Ovis aries: one gene and its partners. The protein of the gene in region 1 purifies or fractionates together with the protein of each later gene. This does not show direct contact. Links are inferred from orthologs where the notes say so. Each region holds a gene or a part of one and is shown in the gene's direction. Other genes may lie near its edges.

Region 1 (3,853 bases):
CTTAACTAGTTTTCAGGGTTTTGATTCTTGACTGAGAATATAATCTGCTTCCTTTCTCTCTTGTTGGGGATCACGTGGGCCCCGTAATACAAAACTTCTCACTTTGTGTTAAGTGGTGCGTGTACCGTCCGCAGAGAACTTGCAGGAGTTCTAGGGGATGATTGGACAGATAGGGGTTTTGAGAGCACTCTGTTAATGGAGTAGTATTTGCATCGCAAATCTAAGTGGTTTAAAAACCAGGTCCTGTAATTTCCATGGAAAATAGGGCTATGTAAAAGAAAGTGTTTATAATAAAGCCTGTTTAGTTTTTTCCCCTTGTAAAATTAAAATACAGATACTGTTTTTAAGATATAATAATACTTTACTCATTGGAGCTGTCTTGTAGTGATGATACAGATCTTACCATAAACTTTGAAAACATGCTTGTCTTCCACGTGAGACGTGTCTGTGTGTAATAGTGGGTCTTCCAGCCAGAGCAGTATTTGTATTTCTGACATGGTGTTCTGCTTTACAGAATTCAATTCGTCATAATCTGTCCCTGCACAGCAAGTTCATCCGTGTGCAGAATGAAGGAACTGGAAAAAGCTCCTGGTGGATGCTCAATCCAGAGGGAGGCAAGAGTGGGAAATCCCCCAGGAGAAGAGCCGCATCCATGGACAACAACAGTAAATTTGCCAAGAGCCGAGGCCGAGCTGCCAAGAAAAAAGCATCCCTGCAGTCGGGCCAGGAGGGTGCCGGGGACAGCCCGGGATCGCAGTTTTCCAAGTGGCCCGCAAGCCCCGGCTCTCACAGCAATGACGACTTTGACAACTGGAGTACCTTTCGCCCTCGAACCAGCTCGAACGCTAGTACCATTAGCGGGAGGCTCTCTCCCATCATGACGGAGCAGGACGACCTGGGAGACGGGGACGTGCACTCAATGGTGTACCCGCCGTCCGCCGCAAAGATGGCTTCTACTCTGCCCAGTCTGTCCGAGATCAGTAACCCCGAGAACATGGAGAACCTTCTGGATAATCTCAACCTCCTCTCGTCACCAGCGTCATTAGCCGTGTCCACCCAGTCCTCACCGGGCACCATGATGCCACAGACGCCCTGCTACTCCTTTGCGCCGCCGAGCACCAGTCTGAATTCACCCAGCCCCAGCTACCAAAAGTACACGTACGGCCAGTCCAGCATGAGCCCCCTGCCCCAGATGCCCATGCAGACGCTGCAGGACAGCAAATCGAGTTACGGAGGCATGAGCCAGTACTGTGCGCCGGGACTCCTGAAGGAGCTGCTGACGTCCGACTCACCTCCGCACAGTGACATCATGACGCCAGTCGATCCGGGGGTGGCTCAAGCCAACAGCCGAGTGCTCGGCCAGAACGTGCTGATGGGCCCCAACTCGGTCATGCCGGCCTACGGCGGCCAGGCCTCTCACAACAAAATGATGACCCCCAGCTCCCACACCCACCCGGGACACGCTCAGTCAACATCCGCAGTCAATGGGCGTGCCTTGCCCCACGCTGTAAACACCATGCCCCACACCTCGGGTATGAACCGCCTGGCCCCGGTGAAGACAGCTTTACAAGTGCCTCTGGCCCACCCCATGCAGATGAGCGCGCTAGGGGGCTACTCCTCGGTGAGCAGCTGCAACGGCTATGGCCGGATGGGCGTTCTCCACCAGGAGAAGCTCCCCAGTGACTTGGACGGCATGTTTATCGAGCGCTTGGACTGTGACATGGAGTCCATCATTCGGAACGACCTCATGGATGGAGACACGTTGGATTTTAACTTTGACAACGTGTTGCCCAACCAAAGCTTCCCGCACAGTGTCAAGACGACAACACACAGCTGGGTGTCAGGCTGAGAGTGAGCAAGCGAGCGAGCAGGTAAGAGCACCCCGATACCAAAAGACCTTCTGAAAACAGGACTTTAAGAGAGGAGCCCAGTAACTTGCCTTGTATCTTCCAGGGTTGGGACTTTTTTTATTTTTATGTCAGCTGGCCACCCCTTGTGGAGAGGCATCTTTTATCATTCATTCTCTGCCCTTTTTGCAGCTTATAAATTCTCCTCTGAGCTGAAACATAAGGAAGCTTCCTCTAATGGCTTTAAAGAGTTTCTTTTGACAGAAGGCTGCATCTTCGTAGTAACTCTTAAATAAATGAATACATTTGATACAAATCAAATGCTGAAGGGGTTTTTAAAGTGGAATTTTCTCCCATTGAATGATTTCAGAGCTGTTTGAGAAAGCCCAACCCTCCCCCAAGTATGTCTGTCATCCTAATATGTTAAGTTGAATTGATTTTCATTTGGTTGTTTTCAATGCTTGTGTGTGTGTATGTGTTTTTTCCTAGGCTACACTTAAAAGTACTTCAGATTGTCTGACAGCAGGAACTGAGAGAAGCAGTCCAAAGATGTCCTTCACCCTACCTTTTCGTTTTCTTGATTTGAAAAAACAAAACAAAACAAAACAAAACACACAAAACGCATTTCTTTTTTCCTTTCGTCAGACTTGGCAGCGAGGACACTTTTCCTGTACAGGATGTTTGCCCAGTGTTCGCAGGTTATGTGCTGCTCTAGATAAGGACTGTGCCATTGGAAATTTCATTACAATGAAGTGCCAAACTCACTACACCATATAATTGCAGAAAAGACTTTCGGATCCTGGTGTGCTTTCAACTTTTGTACATAAGCTGTAGCTACAGAATTGTATCTCTGTGCTTTTTTTTTTTTTTTTTTTACTATTCATTTGGTCCAAGGAAAGTTTATACTCTTTTTGTAATACTGTGATGGTCTCATGTCCTTGGTAAGTTAAACTTTGGTTTTGTACTACCTGTGTTCTGCTGAACTGATGAATCACAGAGAACCAAGCTCTCCGTTCTACAGCTCCACTGGACAGCTCTGCATCTGTTCACGGCACCCCATAATTCACAGGAGAACCAGTAGCCTGTTGTCCATCTGCTGAATTAATGGACTTATCAAAACTCTTTTGGGGGGGGGGAAAGATTAAACTCCAGCCTTGTACAGGTCTTTTCTATTTTTTTTTCTTCTTCGTTTGTTTATTTTGTTATTTGCAAATTTGTACAAACACTTTAAATGGTTCTAATTTCCATATAAATGATTTTTGATGTTACTGTTGGGACTTGAGATCATTTTTGGAATAGATACTGAACTGTAATGTTTTCTTAAAACTCGAGTCTACCTTTGTTACATGGTCTGCTTGTAAATTTGTGGAATCTCAGACATTTGAAGCAGCGTCCGTGATTTTCCTTTTGTATTTCTAACTGGACTAGTACTAATTTTATATATGCTTCACTTGTTTGTATACTTGGGGATGCTCCTTGGTGATGTTTTCTGACTAATCTTCAAATCCTTGTAATTAGTACTTGCACACCCAACATTTCTGGCCTTGCCTTAGCAGGAGAGTGATGTATAGTTACGGACATTTTGCGTTTCACATTGAGAACTTGATTTGTTTTTGTGTATGTGTTTTACAGACGTCTGCTTCTGCTGTCCTTGTGAACTAGGCATCCCTGCCCGGCATTGAATCTTCTGATCAGTGCCTTTATGCGCTTTGTTTCAAGTACTCCTGGGGGTAGGCTGCAAAGTATTTGGAGATCAGAAGGGGTGACTCACCTCCAAAACAGTGCTCCTTTCTCAAGCTCGAGTTTTGATCAACTTAACCTTTTTGAGTTGAACTTCAGCAAAAGTTTTCCCTCGTAACACTGTGCTCTTCCTGGTCTAGGCAGAAGTTGGCTTTGTACTTCTGGAGAATTATGTCCATACTCACTCTTCAACCCTCTTCCCCTTCTGCCCTGCAGATCGCTTGGTGCACTGTGGAAAGTGAGGTTGAACGGGGGAATTTTTAAAT
Region 2 (5,052 bases), on another chromosome or scaffold:
AATGAATGAAGCAATAAGATGTTCATAAGCTTACATATGTCTTTTTTTTTAATCTGAAAGTTCTGTTCCTATTTTGATAGAATATTGACTCTTAACATTTTATATATATCCTACCAACATAGTTGAGAAGCAATTTGAAATATCTTGTGAGATAAGATAAAGTGGGGAGAGAATAGGATCAAGTATGAAAGCCAGGAAGGGTGAGATGTCTACCTAATTAAGCACTAGGAGTGTAGGCGGGAAGAAAAGACCACAGGATTTGTTCACAGACTGATTACCGGGCATCAATCTGAAGGAACGCTTCAGTGATTTCAAGCCTTATAGGCTGAAAGAGATCATCACTTTCAGAAATGAAACAACCAGCTGTAAGGAGAGATTCTCAGTTTAACTCGAGGTACAAAGACTTTTGGGTTTAGATGGGACCTTCCAGTTACATTTTCAAAATTAGAACTGTTTTTTTAAAAGGATGAAACACCTTAAGTTGCGTTAAGTTCAAACAGTAATTGTCACTGTATAGACAGGACCCACTTAAAGCTTACGGACTGATAAACTATAAACTCACTACCCCTTAAGGGGGTAGAAGTGCTTTGTTTCAGAAACAGATGCCTACGAAGTTAGGCTCTGGGTCTGCCATGTATCATACGGGTTCTCAGTTAAGGCTAGATGTGGAGTGAGAGTCCTAAAATTTCAGGAAAAAACAGAAGAGGGACTTCAAGTAGGCAAGGAATTAATATTTTTGGCTACTATGTACACCCTTCACTTTACATCTGGCTATCTTTAATTCTCATCAAAACCCTACAAAATACTTATTAACCATTTTACAGAAAAGCTAAACTTCTCACGCTAGAAGGATCTCAAATTCTTACCCAAATCTACATGTTTGTAGCGGCCAAGTCATGTTCAGCCCAGTTATCTTCATACCACTCCACTTGAGCCGATATACTCATTTTATGAAACCTATACGAGGGAAATCACACATTTGGAGCCAAGCTGGGACCACGAAGCAGGTAGGCTGATCATCCCTCCGCCTCAAAGGTCTTTGCAGGACGCACACATGCCTTTGAGGGACAATCTACACCGCCCTACAAGGGATGGAGAGAGGAAGAAATAGCAATAATCTAAAGACAAAAGCAAAGAGAAAAAGGGAGCCAAAGAGAAGCTGTGCGAATGGGGTGTGGAGGTTGACAAGTGAACCGTGCTTTTGCCTCTATTTCTCTTGTAACTCAGCTGGTAAATAATCCGCCTGCAGTGCGGGAGACCTAGGTTCGACCCCTGGGTTGGGAAGATCACCTGGAGAAGGGAAAGACTACTCACTCCAGTATTCTGGCCTAGAGAATTCCATGGACCGTATAGTCCACGGGGTCACAGAGAGGTGGACAGGGCTGAGCGAACTTCACTTCACTTGTCCGTTAACAAACTGACCGATTACTTAGCACATTTCGGGAAGCTTAGCCTTAACGCCGCTCAGGAACTTAGTATTAACCCTTAGCATAAGTCAAGAAAAGACAAAGGCAGTCGAGCAAGGCGTGCTCTTCACGCAGAAGTGGAAACTCGCGGCGCAGAGCAAAACTTGAACCAACCCGCGGGCACTGATTTGAAGACTGAAAGACAAGTTTGGCTGCGAGACGCGCCGGCCTCCAAGGGGTGGGGCCGCAGCACCCAAGGCGGGGTTTCCTCCAGGCCCACGCCGCCTCCGCCTGCCACGTGACCCGCGGTGTTGTGGTCCGGCCCGCGTGGGTGGCGGGAGCGGCGGGAGGGCGGGGGCGAGGAGCGGCGCGTCACGTGACGGGGTTTAAATCTCCCGCAGCCGGAGCCGCGGGGGCGCCAGTGCCGCGAGTCGAGCGGGAGCAGAAGAGGCGAGGGAGGAGGGCCAGAGAGGCGGTTGAAAGATGGCGGACGAGGCGGCGCTCGCCCTTCAGCCCGGCGGCTCCCCCTCGGTAGTGGCGGCTGAGAGGGAGGCCCCGTCGCCGCCTGCTGGGGAGCCGCTCCGCAAGAGGCCGCGAAGAGACGGCCCCGGCCTCGGGCGGGGCCCGGGCGAGCCCGGCGGGACGGCCCCCGAGCGGGAACTGCCGGCGGCGGCCGGCGGCTGCCCGGCAGCGGCGGCGGCGCTGTGGCTGGAGGCCCAGGCGGCGGCGGCGGCGGCCGGAGAAGGAGACAATGGGCCGGGCTTACAGGGCCTATCCCGGGAGGCGCCACCGGCCGACGACTTCTACGACGACGACGACGAGGGCGAGGAGGAGGAAGAGGCGGCGGCGGCGGCTATTGGGTACCGAGGTGCGCAGGGCGCGGGCGGCCGGGACTGCGCATCCCCCCTCCTCCTCCCGGGGCCCCTCCTGTCGGGTGGTGGAGTCTCGGGCGGGTTGGGGGCTCGGGCCTGGCTCTGCGCCTTCCCCCTGCCGACCTGGGCCTTCAGCCGCGCGCCTGCGGGGCTGAGGGCTGGGCTGCGGGAGCGGCCCGCGGACTCGCTCCCTCCCTTGCTCTGTGCCACCCCCACCTTCCTCCCCGCGGCCCGCCCCAGCGGCCTCGCGTTTTGCGCAGCCGCGGGGCGGGCTACCCTCGCTGTCGGTTTTAAAATAAGTTTCTCTCCCCTCCTACTCCTTTAGTGTATTGCTTTTGTTAAATGCTGTTCGCTTCTCCGCCTCTCCCCGTCCCGCACACTTCAACCTGCAACTTTTTGACTGTCCCTTGCGCCAGCTTTTGCCATTGCCTGCGAAATTTGTTGGGGTTTTTAGGAGGGCCTCTATTTTCAAACTTGTTTTAAATTTTAAAGAGCATAGGTGTTTATAAAGACATTACCCTTCTGTGGTGCAATTAATAGTGGGCATAGGAGAGTAATAGTTTTTTAGACTACTTTGCCGTGAATAGTGTTTTTCCTCTAATCGTGTTCTTATAGTGGTTTTTACAGTAACTGTCTTCGTGTGTGTATATGTAACCCTGAAACACGAATTGACATTTTTCTGACATGCTAAAGTAGATGTGATAGTTGTGTGTCTCGTCATCCTTCAGTGTTTTCATAGTTTTTATCTAGATAGATATGCCTCTCCATTATTTGTACTAATAAATCCAACCAGTGGACCATTTGACTATATGTAAAGATAACGTGTGCATTAGGGACTGGATTAGAAAAACGACACTGTTTTCAAGAAACATAGTTTAATAAGGGAAACGAATAATGCAAAGGTACCTTTGTAGATTTTGCGTTATATAAGAGAGTGCAAGTTGCCATAGCTGTGTTTGCATGACTTTTTGGGTAACTTTTTATTTGGTAAGTTTTATGAACCACTATTTGTGATCGATAAATTCAGTCAAGGTTGCTACTTTTTGTGTTTTGATTAAGTAGACTTATTTCTAGATTTTGATGAAACTTAGCTTCTGAGCAGAATGCCTAAAGAGGATATACTGTTCCTGTGAACGGTGTGAGTTGATCCAGTAGACATTTTTTACGCGGGCAGTATGAGTGCTTTATTCATTGGAAATTGTTGCATCACAATAATTACAGAGCTTTATAATTTTAGATGCAGATTGTTTCCACAACCTTGAGTTACCTTTGGTTTCTTTTGCAGATGACCTTCTGTTTGGTGATGAAATCATCACCAACGGTTTCCATTCGTGCGAAAGTGACGAAGATGATAGAGCCTCGCATGCGAGTTCTAGTGACTGGACTCCAAGACCTCGGATAGGTATGGTTTCACAGGTTAAGAGCTATCTTTTCTCTGATATTTTCTTTTTATGTCGAGGAAAACTATATTTCTTTCTTCCCTTATTGTCTTGTGATGAGGTTCTTAGGCGTTTACTGAGATTTAATGTCAGCTTGGTTTTTAGGGGAAGTCTAGTACTTTGTTCTGTTTTTGTTTGTTAAACAGCATGGGCCCATGGAAGCTGGCCTGTGTAATTTCTCAAAAACCAGGTCCTCACACTTAAACGGTCCTTTCCACTTGTACCCTCCATATGGAATGGTCATCCTCCAAAGTATCTTGCTTCCTCCTTCATATCCTTCTATAATTTTTCTTCTTAACACTTACTGCTTGACAATTTCTGTGTATAACTTTTATTGCTGGTTTCCTGCATTAGAATATAGAGTCCCATGGGGGCCAGGGATTTCTGACTGATTTGTATACTGTTTAGTCGGTGCCTGGAAAAATTTGCCCTCAGTAAATACTAAGTATTTTGATGGAATGGGAAAGTATTTTGAAGTAGAGAATACTATGAGATTTTTATATCGAAGTAGTAACATGACCATCTCAAAATATTCTTTTTCTTAATGTGCTCTCATTTTTCCAGAAATGCCTTGACTATTTCAAGATCGTGATGATTAGTTTCTCTTAGTGTTTATATTGACTGTATTTTTGGTTTTCTTAAGCTAGGAACTGATTAAGAAATTTAGGGCAAAGAATTATTAAAGCTTAGAACATTAGCATTATATGCATCATTGCAAAGACAGGTTAAGATTAAATTGAAGATTATTACTGGGAACATTTTAAAGATAGTAGTTAAGGATAGATTTCATTTTCTTTGTGTTTTTAATGATAAATAGTGTGGGCTTTCAGGATGGGTAAGATCTTTATTGATTTGCAGAGCCCTTTTGTACATCTGTTGTATTTAAGTTATATTTTTTTAGGTTTTAACCAGAGAAATCTAATTCTAGTAGTAAATTCACTTGACTCTTACACATGTTGTTTAGTCACGAAGTTGCATCTGATTCCGCCCCATGAACTGTAACCAGCCAGGCTCCTCTGTCCCTGGGATTTCCCAGACAATAATGCTGGATTGAGTTGCCGTTTCCTTTTCCAGGGGTCTTGTCTACCTAGGGATTGAACTATGGCCTCTTTACCACTGAGCCACCAGGGAATCCCTTTGAAATACATACCTGGCATTTTATAGCTCAGGGGACAGGATATATAGTAGTGGCTCTGTGTCTCAGCTCCTGATTTCATTGGGATATATAACCTTAGCTCTGAAGATGTTCTGAATGAAACACCTTTGCAGTGCATTTTTTTACTTTACAAAACAGCCTTAAGGAGTGCTAATTTACTACTTCAGAAAATAAATGAG
Region 3 (4,040 bases), on another chromosome or scaffold:
CACTCACCGAAACTAGAGGAAAGCCCGTGTAGCAATGAAGACCCAGCACAGCCAAAAATCAATAAATTAAAAAAAAAAAAAAGACCCACGGGAAGAACTTCACTCCCAAGTCCAGATTCCCCAAGTTGGGGGTTGGTGGAACCCAGTTTCCCCTTTTGGGGACAAGTGTCTGCTTATTTGTTCTTTCATGTAATAGCTGTGGACTGGTGCTGGGAAGAGGTCCTCCCTGGGCAGGGCAAACGCCCCAGGATGCTCCTCCATGACTGAGATGTGTTTGTATTGACAATGAAGGGGGTGGCGTGGGCAGGCTGCAGCCCCAACCCAGAGCCTCTTACCTCCTCCTCCTCCTCCCCTTCCCCACGCCCAGAGAAGATCTTCTCCGAGGTGACTCCCAAGTGTGAGAAATGTCAGAGCGTAGTGAAGCCTGGTGAGCCTTGGGGCCTGGGACCCTGCACACCCGCTAACCCCTTCCCAAGAAGGCCACGCTCCCCATCCATCCACCCGACCCTGGTCACCCTCTCTCCCTGACTAGGGAGAGGGGGTGCCATAGCCCCCTGGCCTATTCCCCACTGCCCCATCCACACTCCCGCCCCAGCCCTGGGGTCCTCCTCCTGCTCCTGCCCGTTCTCTCTCCCCCTCCCTGTCTCTGTCCCCTGCTTTTTCACCATCTCTTTCTGTCCCCATGTCTGTCTGTCCATCTGTCTCCCCCTCAGATATCGTGTTCTTCGGCGAGAACCTCCCAGCGCGTTTCTTCTCCTGCATGCAGTCAGTAAGTGTCCCGGCCGCCCCGTCTCGGCCCATGCGGGGGCAGCCTAGGTCCTGCCCTGCGGCAGGTGGCTTCCCCAAGTAGCTGTGGGTGGGCTTGCAATCGGGGGCGGGGGCCGGCAGCTGACCTCACTGGCCGCTCCCGCTTTGTAGGACTTCCTGAAGGTGGACCTCCTTATCATCATGGGCACCTCCCTGCAGGTGCAGCCCTTCGCGTCCCTCATCGGCAAGTAGGTTGGGGGCTGGGGCTGTGGGGGGCTGCTGGGAGGCTGGGGGAGCCGTGACAGGCCCTCACCACTCAGATCACCATCCGCCAGGGCGCCCCTGTCTACCCCGCGCCTGCTCATCAACAAGGAGAAGACTGGCCAGGTGAGTCCTCTTCGTCCTACCCTGCCACCCCCGCACACGAGCCCCACATCACCTCCCCCAGGCCCCCCGGGAACCAGGGGACAGGTTTCTGGGGAAGCCCAGTGTTCTGGGCCCCTCAGCTCAGACCTGGGGATCTTGAATCCTCGGGGTCAGATTCCAGGCTACCCCCACTCCAGGGTTCCACAGGCCTCTGGGTCAGTCACCCTTTTTTATCTTCTTTTTTGTCTATAGTAGGCCTTCGTTGCTGTTCTTGGGCTCCCTCTAGTTGCGGCTAGCAGGGGCTACTCTAACTGCATTGCATGGCGGGCTTCGCATTGCGGTGGCTTCTCTTGTTGCAGAGCGCAGCCTCTAGGGTACGGGCTCAGTAGTTGGGGTACATGGGCTTAGTCGTCCCGCAGCATGTGGGATCCTCCCAGACCAGGAATGGAACCCATGTCCCCTATATTGGCAGGCGGATTCTTAACCACTGGCCTGCCAGGAAGTCCCATTTACCCTTTTGAGGGGATGATAGAACCCCAGCTCAAAGCAACGTAAGCCAAAACAGGAACCTTAGCTTCCTGTGACTGAAGAGTCTGGGCTCGCTGGTCCCCGGGCCAGCAGCGGTGCCATCAGGAGTCACTGTGCCGTGTCTCAGCTCTCTTTTCAAACTGAGGTGACCTCTGTCCCAGGAGGGGCTCCCTCCCGGGGACAGCTGTTTCCTCCAGCAGGCAAAAAACATACTGTGTGGCAGACTCTGTGCTCAGCATTTTCTCTGTGTTAACCCACTGATAGCATCATCCTAGGAGTGGGTGTGGTGATTACCCCTACTCTACAGAGAAGGAAACTGAGGTTCAGAGAGGCCAGGCCACTTGAGTGAAGTCACAGAGCTGGGATTCAAACCCAGGCCCCCTGGCTCCGGAGTCTGTGCTCTGAGCTCCCCCTCCCCCACAGACTGACCCTTTCCTCGGGATGATGATGGCCCTCGGAGGAGGCATGGACTTTGACTCCAAGAAGGCCTACAGGTGAGGCCCGGGCCTGCAGCGGGGTGAGGTAGAGCCTGGGAGGGACAGGGCCCAGGTGGGAGGGAAGGCACGGAGGCAAAGGACAGGCAGAGCCACCGGTGCTGGGACAAGCCTGGGAGCTTTGACTCTTCCCTCGCCCTCAGGGACGTGGCCTGGCTGGGTGACTGCGACCAGGGCTGCCTGGCCCTTGCTGACCTCCTTGGCTGGAAGGTGAGGAGCTATCACCCCAGCTCACCCCGAGCCCAGTCCCTGGATCCCCCTCCCACAGGTCCTCCGACCCAATGACACATGATGACCTCTGACCTCTGTGAACTTTGCCCCCTGCAGAAGGAGCTGGAGGACCTTGTTCGGAAGGAGCATGCAAGCATAGATGCCCAGTCGGCGTCTCGGTCCCCCAACCCCACTACTTCAGCTTCCTCCAGGAATTCTCCACCACCTCCCACCAAGGAGGAGCCCAGGACCACTGAGGGAGAGAAACCCCAGTGACCGCTGCGTCTCCCAGGCAGGACCCCCAGCCTTGGGACCGCTGAGCCCCAAACAGCCCTGGCCCTCCTCTAACTTACAGCTCTTTTCTGGGGAGCTCAGAACATTTCTTCAATGTATTAACGATTCCCTCCCAAAACTGGTGTCCCAGCACCCCTGACCTCAGCAAATCTCTAACATTCTTGGGGGCAGAGGCTTGGGCAGCCTGTCTCTAACAGCCCACAGCCTCTAACCACCCCTACGGCCGAGGATCAGCCCCCCTAATCTCTAACTGCTCACAGGGCCACGGGTACCTCCAAACTGCTAACTGTCCCAGGACAAGAGCCCCAGGGCCCACACGCTCTCTACTGCTCCCAAGGGTCCCTGGTCAAGTAGATGAAACCTAACCTACCCTGGGTTGGGGGTTGTGCCCTCCATACACTCAGTGGGGAGATCCAAGCCTCAAGGACTCCCAGGCCTCTGCCTCCAACTCTGAAAGTGGGTGCTAGGCCCCCTCTCTTGGTCCCACTTCCTATGTGGGGGTGGGCAGATGGTGTTGCTTATTAGAGATGAATTAAAAACAAAAAACAACTAACGATTAGCTGTCTGGCCTCGCTGTTCTTTTCTGGGGCCCCGAGGGAAGCTGCCGGAGGAAGGGGGTTAGATCTCCGCCCGCTAAGGAAACCATCATGAGAAGCAGCGTGAAGAGTGCTGAAAGGTGCCGAGAGCGGGCTCGGGGCCGTGGGAGCCCTGTGTCCTGGCTGTTACCCCTGGACTCCCAGGCACCTGCCAGAGTCCCTTCCTCCAAAGCCGGGTCACCCAAGGCCTGAGCCCCCAGAAAGAGGGAGGAGGGTCCCTTTTCAGATCCCCCCAGCCCCGCCTCTTCCCCTGCCAGCTCAGCTTCCTCTCTCTCTCCGTGAGGAACTTTCACTTCCTGCTACTTCAGGCCTCCCCTCGGAGAACAGGTAGGGGCCCCCAGGGGACCGAGCAGCTGGCATCACCACCCCCCTCCGCTACACTGACCCACAGCCTCCCTGTGGCATCAGGCAGCTGCCCCCGTCACACCCTGCCCAGCACCCCTCATCTCCTTCTGCCTTCTCATGGGGCCCAGGCAAGCCTCTGCCTCCCTCTCCCCACCCTTCCTGCCTGTTCTCCCCTAGGCAGAGCACCTGCTCTCTGTCCCCCACTTCCTAACACCCTGGACTTCGGGACAGTGGGCTGATGGGTTGATTTAGCTGTTTATTATGCATCCCTTATACCCACCCCAAGAAGAAGGGAAGCCCCTGGGAGCAGGGGCCTATTCTGCCCATCGCCCTTTCCCCAGGCACCTAACTGGTCCTGTACTTCAGTAAATATTTGTTGGATGTATGGGCACATGGATGGATGGATGGAAGGACCTAGGATTCCTGCTCCTGGGACTGCTGCAAGGAAAATATTTTAGAA
Region 4 (5,042 bases), on another chromosome or scaffold:
CTTTGGTCATCTGATGCAAAGAACTGACTCACTGGAAAAGACCCTGATGCTGGATGATTGAAGGCAGGAGATGGCGACAAAAGAGGGTGATGGTTGGATGGCATCAGTGACTCAATGCACGTGAGTCTGCGCAAGCTCTGGGAGTTGGTAATGGACAGGGAAGCCTGACATACTGTGGTCCATGGGGTCACCAAGAGTCAGACATGACTGAGCGACTGAACCGAATGAGATGCCTGGAGAGCTTTGGTTGGCGTGGTGTCCCCACTGCTCTAGTCCTCCCCTCCCCCACTCCCTCCCTCCTCCAATAAGTCTTGGAGAAGGAAATACAGCCCACTCCAGTATTCTTGCCTGGAGAATCCCATGGACAGAGGAGCCTGGCAGGCTGCAGTTCATAGGGTGGCAAAGAGTCAGACATGACTGAGTGACTAAGCACATTAATAAGCCTGAGTTTGTTTTCTTATTTTGCAGTCAAATATGTTTCTACTAGAATCGTAGCCCCAAAGATCTTTAACCTTCAAAAAGTCAAAACTTTTCATGTCTCCTGTTCTTTTATGTGTAAAATGGGGATGATATAATTTTTACCTTGTAGTACCTTTGTGATGATTAGAGATGGGAAACCATGGAACTATGATAGATAATCAATAAATAGTATTCTATAGAGTTATGTTAGAGTCCTGGCCTTATATGTCAGATTAAGTTTACACTCACTGTTGTGTCTTTAACACTGTCCAATGCTTGCAACAGAGTATACTCTCAATAAACAATTTGGAATGAACAAGTTTATCCCTTGATACCACGAAGCTGTGAGAAAAATACCTGGTTTAGAAAGAGGAGGTTGGTCACTGTTGACTTTCATCCGGCCCTAAATGGCTTCCCTGATAGCTCAGTTGGTAAAGAATCCACCTGCAATGCAGGAGACCCCGATTTGATTCCTGGGTTGGGAAGATCCGCTGGAAAAGGGACAGGCTACCCACTCCAGTCTTCTTGGGGTTCCCTGGTGGCTCAGCTGGTAGAGAATCTGCCTGCAACGTGGGAGACCTGGTGGCTCAGCTGGTAGAGAATCTGCCTGCAACGTGGGAGACCTGGGTTCAATCCCTGGGCTGAGAAGATTCTCTGGAGAAGTGAAAGGCTACCCACTCCAGTATTCTGGCCTGGAGAATTCCATGAACTGTATATAGTCCATGGGGTCGCAAAGAGTCGGACACCAACTAAGCGAGTTTCACTTCACTTAATGCATTAAAAAGGGCCTGTCTCTCTACACGTGCCTCCCTAAGGGTCCGTGTGATAAAAAATTTAATGCTGCCTGGAAAATGGAAGTGATAATTCCTGTCATCCTCAAATCATTAGAGGGGAGGAAGTGAAGTGAAGTGAAGTCGCTCAGTCGTGTCCGACTCTTTGCAACCCCGTGGACTATAGCCTGCCAGGCTCCTCTATCCATGGGATTCGGGACACTTTTAACAGCCTGAGGGCCATATATACACATTGCCGCCTCTGGTAGAGAGGCTGTTCCCCGGCTCTCCCAAGGGGGCGTGACCAGCCTCCTGCTGACCCGCCTTCCCCAGAGGCCAGGTTCCTCCCACTCCGCCGAGTGCTAGGGGCTCCTTCACTGGGCCGACCAGCGCGTCCTCGTGCGCATGCGCGCACCCCCCTCACGCCTGCGGGGGCGGGGCCACGTGCGTCATCGGGACGCGCGCCGCGGACTTCGCCGCGGTTGCCGGAAGTTGGGCGGCGGTAAGTGAGCCGCGCTGTTGAGGAGGACAGGGGTCCTGCGAGGTCGGTTTCTGTAGCCCTGGGCCTGAGGGGTGAGCTCGGCGGTGAGGTCGAGGGTCACGGCGGGTCTGAGGAGCCTCCTTCAAGAGGCGGGCCTCCCTCCTCTAGGGAGACACACCGACTCTGGCTCTCGCCTTCTGTCTGCGGTCACGTCCCCCTCAGGCTGATTCAGCCCGGGGTCTTCCGACTAGGAAGCTCTTGCTAATTAACAAAGTAATTCCCGCCTGTCCCCTGGCAGCGAGTGCTCTGGACATCCTGTGTGGGCACACGGGGGACAAGGACGCCTGGGCTCTCTCTTCCTGGCTTTGCCCGGTCTTGCTGTCACTGGCGTGTCTTTTCTGGCGCGTCCTCTCCTCCCTTCATGTGACATGATGTTGAAACGCTTTTCAGGAGCTGAGTACAGGCCTCACATGCAACCCGCAAGGGCCTTTTTCTGTTCCAGCTGGTTTCTCATGGTAGAGAATAAGTGTAAGTACTGATCCTAGCACTGCTCTGCAAGCTGGGGATGCCAAAATGAGTAAGGTACACATCCCTGTCCTCGAGTTAATTTCTTTTTTTTAAGTCAAGGAGATAGCACTACAGTATGAAACTGTTGTAGGGGGTTTGCTGGCAGACTTAGGGTGCTCACAGGTCAGGCTGAGGCATCAGTAGGGTTTGGTCCTAAAGGATGAGCAGGATTAGTCAGGTGAAGAGGGCAGTGAGGTGGGAGGATATCCCAGACATTGGGAGTGGCGTGAACAGAAGGCTGTCCAGTGAGTGACCTGCAAGGAGTTCACTCAAGCTGGAATGCCCAGTTGTGGGAGAGGCAACTCTGGAAAGCCAGATCATGAAGGATCGTGTGGGCGACAGCGTGAGGAGCACAGGCTTTGGAAGCTGAGGTACTTGTGTGCCATGTCTGGCTTTGCCACTGAGCTAAGTTTGTGAGCTTGGGCTGGTCACTCCCTTTCTTAGCTTCAGTTTCCTCATCTGTAAAAGGAGCAAATAGGGAGTTCCCTGATGGCCTAGTGGTTAGGATTCTGGGCTTTCACTGTTTTGGCCCGGGGTTCAATCCCTGATCAGGGAACTGAAATCTTACAAGCCGCATGACGTAGCCAAACATCCCCGCCACCGCCCCCCCCCCCCCAAAAAAAAAAACAGAACAAAAACGAAGGGCAGACATTAATCCACCTTCTAGGGTGGGTGTGAGAAGTGAATTAGAGGATGTTAGCCACTTGACACTGCTGCTGCTGCTGCTACATCGCTTCAGTCGTGTCTGACTCTGTGTGACCCCATAGATGGCCCACCAGGCTCCGCCATCCCTGGGATCCTCCAGGCAAGAACACTGGAGTGGGTTGCCATTTCCTTCTCCACCACTTGGCACTAGTAGATAGTAAACAATAAACTGTTGCAGTTACTATTGCCAAGTTAAGACATGTTAAGAAGCTTTATTTGGAAATGTGGGTGTAAAGAGTAGAGCCCTGAGGAATTTTTAAGCAGGGTTGTGCCATGGTTTTATCTCTTTTAAATTAGCCAGGCAGTGATGTGCTGATTAGAGTGGGCAGGAAGGACCTGCAGGCAGACTGGTCAGGGCACTGTTGCTGTGGTCCAGGTGGCGGAGGAGGTGGGCCTGAACCAAGGCAGCACCTATGGGGATGGAGAGGGGTGGGTGGATTCAAGAGACAAGGAAGTGAGATTCACTGGACTGGTAACTGGTTGGATGATGCTGGGGGAGTCAGGATTTTGGGGGTCGAGGATAGAGAATGAACCCTCTACGTGGAAATAAAAATGACAAGTTGTTTGATCAGTACCCTTGACCTCAGAGATTTTATTTGAAAGTCAGAATGACCTCTGTCTTCCACTTTTGCTCATGGAAAATAGATTCTCTGATGCCTTCCTCCTCTCTTTCTCTCGATCCTCCCTGCTCTTTCTAGTGGCGCCCCACAGTGTGTTCAGTTCAGTTGCTCAGTCATGTCCGCCTCTGTGGCCCCACGGACTGTAGCACGCCAGGTTTTCCTGTCCATCATCAACTCCCGGAGCTTGCTCAAACTCAGGTCCATTGAGTCGGTGATGCCATCCAACCATCTCATCCTCTGTCGTCCCTTTCTCCTGCCTTCAGTCTTTTCCAGCATCAGTGTCTTTTCCAGTGAGTCAGTTCTTTGCATCAGGTGGCCAAAGTATTGGAGTTTCAGCTTCAGCATCAGTCCTTCCAATGAATATTCAGGGTTGATTTTCTTGAGGATTGACTGGTTTGATCTTCTTGCTAGTCCAAGGGATTCTCAAGATTCTTCTCCAACACCACTGTTCAAAAATATCAATTATTCAGCATTCAGCCTTTATGGTTCAGCTCTCACATTCATACATACTACTGGAAAAACCATAGCTTTGACTAGGCAGACCTATGTTGGCAGAGTAATGTCTCTGCTTTTTAATGTGCTGTCTAGGTTAGTCATAGTTTTTCTTCCAAGGAGCAAGTGTCTTAATTTCATGGCTGCAATCGCCATCTGCAGTGATTTTGGAGCCCAAGAAAATAAAGTCTCAACTGTTTCTATTGTTTCCCTGTCTATTTGCCATGAAGTGATGGGACCGGATGCCATGATCTTCATTTTTTGAATGTTGAGTTTTAAACCAGCATTTTTACTCTCCTCTTTCACTTTCATCAAGAGGCTCTTTATTAGCTCCTCTTTACTTTCTGCCAAAAGGATGGTGTCATCTGCATATGTGAGGTTATTGATGTTTCTCCCAGCAATCTTGATTCCAGCTTGTGCTTCATCCAGCCCAGCGTTTCTCATGATGTACTCTGCATTTAAGTTAAATAAGCAGGGTGACAATATACATCCTTGATGTACTCCTTTCTCAATTTGAAATCAGTCCATTGTTCCATGTCCAGTTCTAACTGTTGCTATTTGACGTGCATACAGATTTCTCAGGAGGCAGGTCAGGTGGTCTGGTATTCCCATCTCTTTAAGAATTTTCCACAGTTTATTGTGATCCACACAGTCAAAGGCTTTGGCATAGTCAATGAACCAGAAGTAGATGTTTTCCTGAAACTCTCTTGCTTTTTCTATAACCCAACAGATGTTGGCAATTTGATCTCTGGTTCCTCTGCCTTTTGTAAATCCAGCTTGAACATCTGGAAGTTCTCGGTTCACGTACTGTTGAAGCCTCACTTGGAGACTTTTGAGCATTGCTTTGCTAGCATGTGAGATGAGTGCAATTGTGAGGTAGTTTGAACATTCTTCGGCTTTTCCTTTCTTGGGGAGTGGAATGAAAACTGACCTTTTCCAGTCCTGTGG
Region 5 (4,976 bases), on another chromosome or scaffold:
ACTGAATTTAAAAATATTTTCCATGTAACATTAGCTTAATGAATTGTGAACATTCAGCTTAGTATTCTTCATCTAGTTTCAACTAGAATCAATCAGTGAGCAGATCCATTCTTTACCCCAGTTTTATCTAGTTTCAAGAGTCAACTACTAAAGGATCACGAACGCCCTCCTCTGTCAAGAGGTGGTTCCATTTCAAGCTATGCACCAAGCCTGAAACAAGCTGATATTCAAGAGGGGGAGGTTTAACTCCAGTGTAAATTGAATTTTTTTTTTTAAGAAATAAGAAGGTATGCCACACAGCATGCTTAAGTGATATTCTAGTATTTTTGTGATGACGCTGGGTGCTTCTTTCTGAACTTTATAAATCCTCTCCATTTTTACTAGGGTTGGAAGTTATTCCCCCTCTCTCTTCCACTGTTTTCCCAGGCTCGCAGTTATAGAACATTTGCACAATGGATTTCGCACGGTCATCCTACCCAGAAAATGGCACTCTCTAACCATCTCCAAACTTTTCTCCGTGGATATAGTCTAAAAGCAAGCAGCTGACTTTTAGGACGTGAGGCAAACAGAATTTTTTTTTTTTTTTTTTTTGAGACAGTAATCGAATGGTTTTGCTGGTGGCCGCTAGCGTGGCACGGAAAGCCTTTTGCAAACAATAGTCACCTTATTTGTTCTCATGCTAGCATTTATGAGACTTCTCAAGGCTGCCGGAGATGCTGAGCTTTCCCCTGGCACTCACAGCAATCTCCTGCTCCCCTAAAATTAAACCTCCGCCTGACGTTTGAACCGCGCTTTCGTTTACAAAACGCTCTCACGAGCCTCCTCTGATTTGACGGCGACTGTGAAACGAGCGTTCTTGCCGTGGTGCCTATTTTACACGTAAGGAAAGGATCCTGTCCACAGACCTAGTCCTTAGGGCCGCCCTCACCCGGGTGGAGTACGCAGCTCCAGGCAGAGAGGGGAGCAGGTGTGACGCCCACGGCCGCAGCCTCTCACCTGGCCGGCAGGGCGTGCCACGGCCTCCACTCAGCTACCTGGGACGTAGGCCCCGCGACGGCGGCCTCTCGGGGTCTCCGGGGCCCCCCTCAGTCCGCGCTCGGCCCCACACCTCAAAGTGCCTCACGCTCTCCTCCTCGGGCTCACCGTCCGATCTCGCCGGACAGCGTCCAGAAGGGCCTGGAAACCCCGCGGCCGCCACAGCCTTACAGGGTTTGGGACCCACACTCCTTGGCGACAGCGGCGGCAGTCACCAAAAGGTCGGGGGGTCCCGAGAAAGGAAACCCGAACCCCAGTCAAGCAGCTGACATTTCCCCAGTTAGCCGGAGCACCGCCCACTTCCGCTTCCCCGCCTACCCTGTGGGTCGTCCGGTCCCGCAGCCGCGCGGGGTTGTGGGTATCTCGAAGGCGGCAAAGCTGCAAGGAAAGGAAGTAGTGGCGAGGCAGCCGGACTACCAGGCTGGGCAGAAACTACAATTCCCAGCAGGCAGCGGGGCCGCAGACGACGGCTGCGGAGGAGAGCCGGCTGGCTGGAGAATTCTGCGCGCGCTGCTGGGATGGAACGTTGATAGAGTTCGCGGGTTTCGCTGCAGCAAGCCGGGGCCGCACGCAGTGCGCCGCACGCAGTGCGCCGCCGCGCGCCAAAGCGGGAATTCGGGGGGCGGGCACCTCTGCAATTAATGCACGCATTTAAAACTCCCGAACCTGCGGACGCCATGCACAGGTAAACCGATTGCAGAAGGAGACAGAACATGAATGGACCGTCTTAATTCTTTTAGGCCGCGTGTTTTGCTACTTGGCTAATATTGTTAGTAATGCTGTAATGTGAATGGCTGCTTAGCCTCTTTGGGAAAACGTGGATGGGTGGATGCTTTAGTGCGGTGGTCAGCGTGGATGTTATTTGTCTTCCCTTATTGGGCTTTCCTGCTGCTGTTTTCAATCAGTGTGTGATTGCCCTGCCTCTTTCCTTGTATGTTCCCTCCACTTTTAAGAAATTCTTGAGGCCTTCTGCATGATCGGAAATCGAAAAGCCTTTTCGATGTGTTCGGTTATTTTCTCTTTTATTCTTGGGGACTCGCCGCCGGCACGTAAAAATGCAGTTCAGTTAACTGCTGTGAAAGCTTTCTGCGGTGCATAGCTTGCAGCTTCCTTTAGGCCTGTCTGGGAATTATTTACGGGCGTGTTTTTGAAAGGAACGTGGGGCTATTGTGCGTTTCTGCAGGAAACACCTCCAGGAGATACCCGACCAGAGTAGCAACGTTACCACCAGTTTCACGTGGGGATGGGATTCTAGCAAGACTTCTGAACTGCTTTCAGGCATGGGGGTCTCCGCCCTGGAGAAGGAGGAGGTGGACAGTGAGAACATCCCCCAGGAACTGCTTTCAAACCTGGGCCACCCACAGAGTCCCCCACGAAAACGGCTGAAAAGCAAAGGAAATGACAAGGACTTTGTGATTGTCCGCAGACCTAAGCTAAACCGAGAGAACTTTCCAGGTAAGGTTTGAGGGTAAAATACAAGCCCAGTCAATGGTGGATTAAATTGACCGGTTATTTTGTCGGTAGACCTTTGTTTAGGGTTATTTAGCATGGGGTGGGGCCCTTCTAAAGAAATTGTAATTTAAATTTATTTATTTATTTTTGTCCGTGCTGGGTCTTCCTTGTTGCCCCGGCTTTTCTCCAGTTGCAGAGACTTCTCTTTGGGGGAGCATGGGCTCTAGGACGCAGGGGCTTCGGTAGTTGGAGCACGTGGACTCGGCAGTTGCGGGTTCCAGGCTTTAGAACACAGCCTCAATTACTGTGGCGCTGGGGGCTCAGTTGCTCTGCTGCGTGCGGGATCTCTTCCCAGATCAGGGATCGAACCAGTGACTGCTGCATTGGCAGGCAGATTCTTTACCTCTGAGCCACCAGGGAAGGCCAGATAGGGTCCTTTTAAAACTGCCCAATTCCTAAGTTATTTTCCAAAGAAACCAGACCACTGGTTGTGCTTACAGAAATGGTGGTATGTGTGTGTCTTCAGAGACAGAACTGACTTGTAACCGGTGAAAAGACATTCCTTCCTTTTTCTTTAGGAGGGACTCTGCCTGGTTAAGGGCCAGCTCAATACCTCTGACAAATAGAAACAAAGCAATGATCCATAGAATTCTTTTTGTTTATATTTGGCTGCTCTGTAGCCGCTGTTGAGCCTTTTACCATAATCACTTTAGTTATTTATCAAAGGACTGCTGAAGTGAATGTTGAGCTAAGGGGGAGAGACTCATCCTTACAGATCCATTCCCAAGAGGAATTCTTTATGCTGTCTCCATCACTCACTGTGTTATCTGTTCAGTTTCCCCAACCCCATAACCTAAAGGTCAGTCAGATTCCCACCATCCCCCCCCAAAATCCAACCAATCATTGAATCTTTCCCTCTTGTCTCCTAAATATTTCTCATATTTAGGAAGGGACTCATAATTCAGAGCCTTATCCTCCCCAGATCCATCCCCCAGAGCTAGAGTGGACTGATTGAAATGTAGAACTCCACTACGTCATTCCCCTCTAAATAGCTCTCTGTTTCCAGGCTTCTCAAGCTGATTTATAACTGCCTCCCACCGTGGATCAGAGCTCCAGGAATACTCAGAACCATAGGGTAAACATAGTGCGTTGACCTGGGGTTATCAGTTTTTCTTACTGGCAAGCCATGTAAAACATTAATTCAGCAAATATTTGCTGAGCACATTGCGTCTGCTAGGCATTGTTCTAAGTACTGGGGATATAGCAGTGAGCACAATAAAAGCATTTCTACCCTCATGGAGCTTCTCTTCTAGAAAGAGGATGCAGTATGCACAAATCTGGTGTGTAGTATGTTAGAATAAGTGCTATGGCTAAAAACAAAAATAGAACACGCCTAGAGGGACAAGAGATCCTGGGATGGGAAGCTGGTTTGCAGGATATTGAAGAAGCCTCACTTGGACAGTGAGCTGTAAGCAAAGGCATAAAGGAGATGAAGGAATGTGCCATGCAAATATCTTGGAGAAAAGAGCCCCAAGCAGAAGGAGCAGGTAGTGCAAAGGCCCTGGAGCAGGAGAATGATGTGTTTGTTCAAGGAACAGCAAGGAAGCCATATTCCAAGAGTAGAACAGCAGAGGGGAGAATAGTGAGAACTGGGCTAGAGGTACAGTTGAGCAGAGTTGCTATGTAACCTTTGAAAAGGATACACTGGTGTCTTGAGACTAAACTTTGAGGGCTTGAGGATAAAAGCTTAGAGACTTGTTGAGAGGTGTGAGAGTGGTGCTAAGCAGCTTCTGGATAGATTTTGATATTAGAGTGGACAGAGAAAGGTTTTGAAATTGTAGAAGTGATCATACTCTAAATTGAAATTGCATGGGACATGATGGAGAAGAAGAGACAGTCGAGAAATAAAGATGAAGTCTTGCAGAGCCAGGGTAAATTAAGTATATTCCTGAATTCCCCCATCTGGCTTTCTTAGAGAAAGCTTGGTTGATCGCTTGCTTGCTTGAACAAAATTTAAAAAAAAAGAAAAGAAAAAAAAAAAGATTTTTTGGCTTTTGACCCTTTCTTTAGAAAAGAGAACTTCTAAATTATGGTCTGAGGATCTATGATAGGTATTGGGTTTATCAGAAAGGCAGTAAGGATTGTGGTGAAGTCAGACAGAAATGGCTTTGAATCCAAACCCTGCTGTTTACCGACCTCGGGAAGCTATTTGAGCCCTCTGTTCCTTAGTTTCTTTGTGCAATGGGATAGTAATGCTGGCGTCATGGGATACTGTAAGGTTAAATGAAAGAGTACGAGTAAAGCTGCCAGCATGCTCCCTGCGTAGAACAGTAAGTAAACCCAGTTAATTTGGTGGACAAAAGATACCTAGCTGAGAGGCTACTTCACTTTATCTTTTGTCCTTAATCCTGTTAGTCTGGCCCTGTTCGTGTAGATCTTTTTTCTTCAAAATTGAATGTCCCTGCTATTTTTAGTGTCAGGAATGCAGC

Evidence for each region.
Region 2: the proteins of FOXO1 (region 1) and SIRT1 purify together in Homo sapiens (affinity purification with western blotting; 5 studies listed by BioGRID and IntAct, with this or other methods). This does not show direct contact. The link is inferred for Ovis aries from reciprocal best matches to the Homo sapiens genes FOXO1 and SIRT1.
Region 3: the proteins of FOXO1 (region 1) and SIRT2 purify together in Homo sapiens (affinity purification with western blotting; 3 studies listed by BioGRID). This does not show direct contact. The link is inferred for Ovis aries from reciprocal best matches to the Homo sapiens genes FOXO1 and SIRT2.
Region 4: the proteins of FOXO1 (region 1) and ATG7 purify together in Homo sapiens (affinity purification with western blotting; 4 studies listed by BioGRID). This does not show direct contact. The link is inferred for Ovis aries from reciprocal best matches to the Homo sapiens genes FOXO1 and ATG7.
Region 5: the proteins of FOXO1 (region 1) and SKP2 purify together in Homo sapiens (affinity purification with western blotting; 4 studies listed by BioGRID). This does not show direct contact. The link is inferred for Ovis aries from reciprocal best matches to the Homo sapiens genes FOXO1 and SKP2.

Annotation. Positions count from the first base shown.
Region 1 is NC_056063.1:22,237,129-22,240,981, forward strand, and holds part of FOXO1 (forkhead box protein O1), read left to right. Parts: intron 1-514; coding exon 515-1,849; 3' UTR 1,850-1,871; intron 1,872-2,336; 3' UTR 2,337-3,853. UniProt on the Homo sapiens protein: Transcription factor that is the main target of insulin signaling and regulates metabolic homeostasis in response to oxidative stress.
Region 2 is NC_056078.1:23,632,769-23,637,820, forward strand, and holds the start of SIRT1 (NAD-dependent protein deacetylase sirtuin-1), read left to right. Parts: upstream 1-1,823; 5' UTR 1,824-1,889; coding exon 1,890-2,274; intron 2,275-3,563; coding exon 3,564-3,680; intron 3,681-5,052. UniProt on the Homo sapiens protein: NAD-dependent protein deacetylase that links transcriptional regulation directly to intracellular energetics and participates in the coordination of several separated cellular functions such as cell cycle, response to DNA damage, metabolism, apoptosis and autophagy.
Region 3 is NC_056067.1:47,962,626-47,966,665, reverse strand, and holds the end of SIRT2 (NAD-dependent protein deacetylase sirtuin-2), read left to right. Parts: intron 1-367; coding exon 368-427; intron 428-713; coding exon 714-769; intron 770-918; coding exon 919-995; intron 996-1,082; coding exon 1,083-1,134; intron 1,135-1,905; coding exon of another isoform or gene 1,906-1,986; exon of another isoform or gene 1,987-2,046; intron 2,047-2,064; coding exon 2,065-2,135; intron 2,136-2,278; coding exon 2,279-2,345; intron 2,346-2,462; coding exon 2,463-2,621; 3' UTR 2,622-3,192; downstream 3,193-4,040. UniProt on the Homo sapiens protein: NAD-dependent protein deacetylase, which deacetylates internal lysines on histone and alpha-tubulin as well as many other proteins such as key transcription factors.
Region 4 is NC_056072.1:55,258,765-55,263,806, forward strand, and holds the start of ATG7 (ubiquitin-like modifier-activating enzyme ATG7), read left to right. Parts: upstream 1-1,680; 5' UTR 1,681-1,731; exon of another isoform or gene 1,732-2,648; intron 2,649-5,042. UniProt on the Homo sapiens protein: E1-like activating enzyme involved in the 2 ubiquitin-like systems required for cytoplasm to vacuole transport (Cvt) and autophagy.
Region 5 is NC_056069.1:38,232,970-38,237,945, reverse strand, and holds the start of SKP2 (S-phase kinase-associated protein 2), read left to right. Parts: upstream 1-1,496; 5' UTR 1,497-1,676; coding exon 1,677-1,720; exon of another isoform or gene 1,721-1,804; intron 1,805-2,218; coding exon 2,219-2,490; intron 2,491-4,976. UniProt on the Homo sapiens protein: Substrate recognition component of a SCF (SKP1-CUL1-F-box protein) E3 ubiquitin-protein ligase complex which mediates the ubiquitination and subsequent proteasomal degradation of target proteins involved in cell cycle progression, signal transduction and transcription.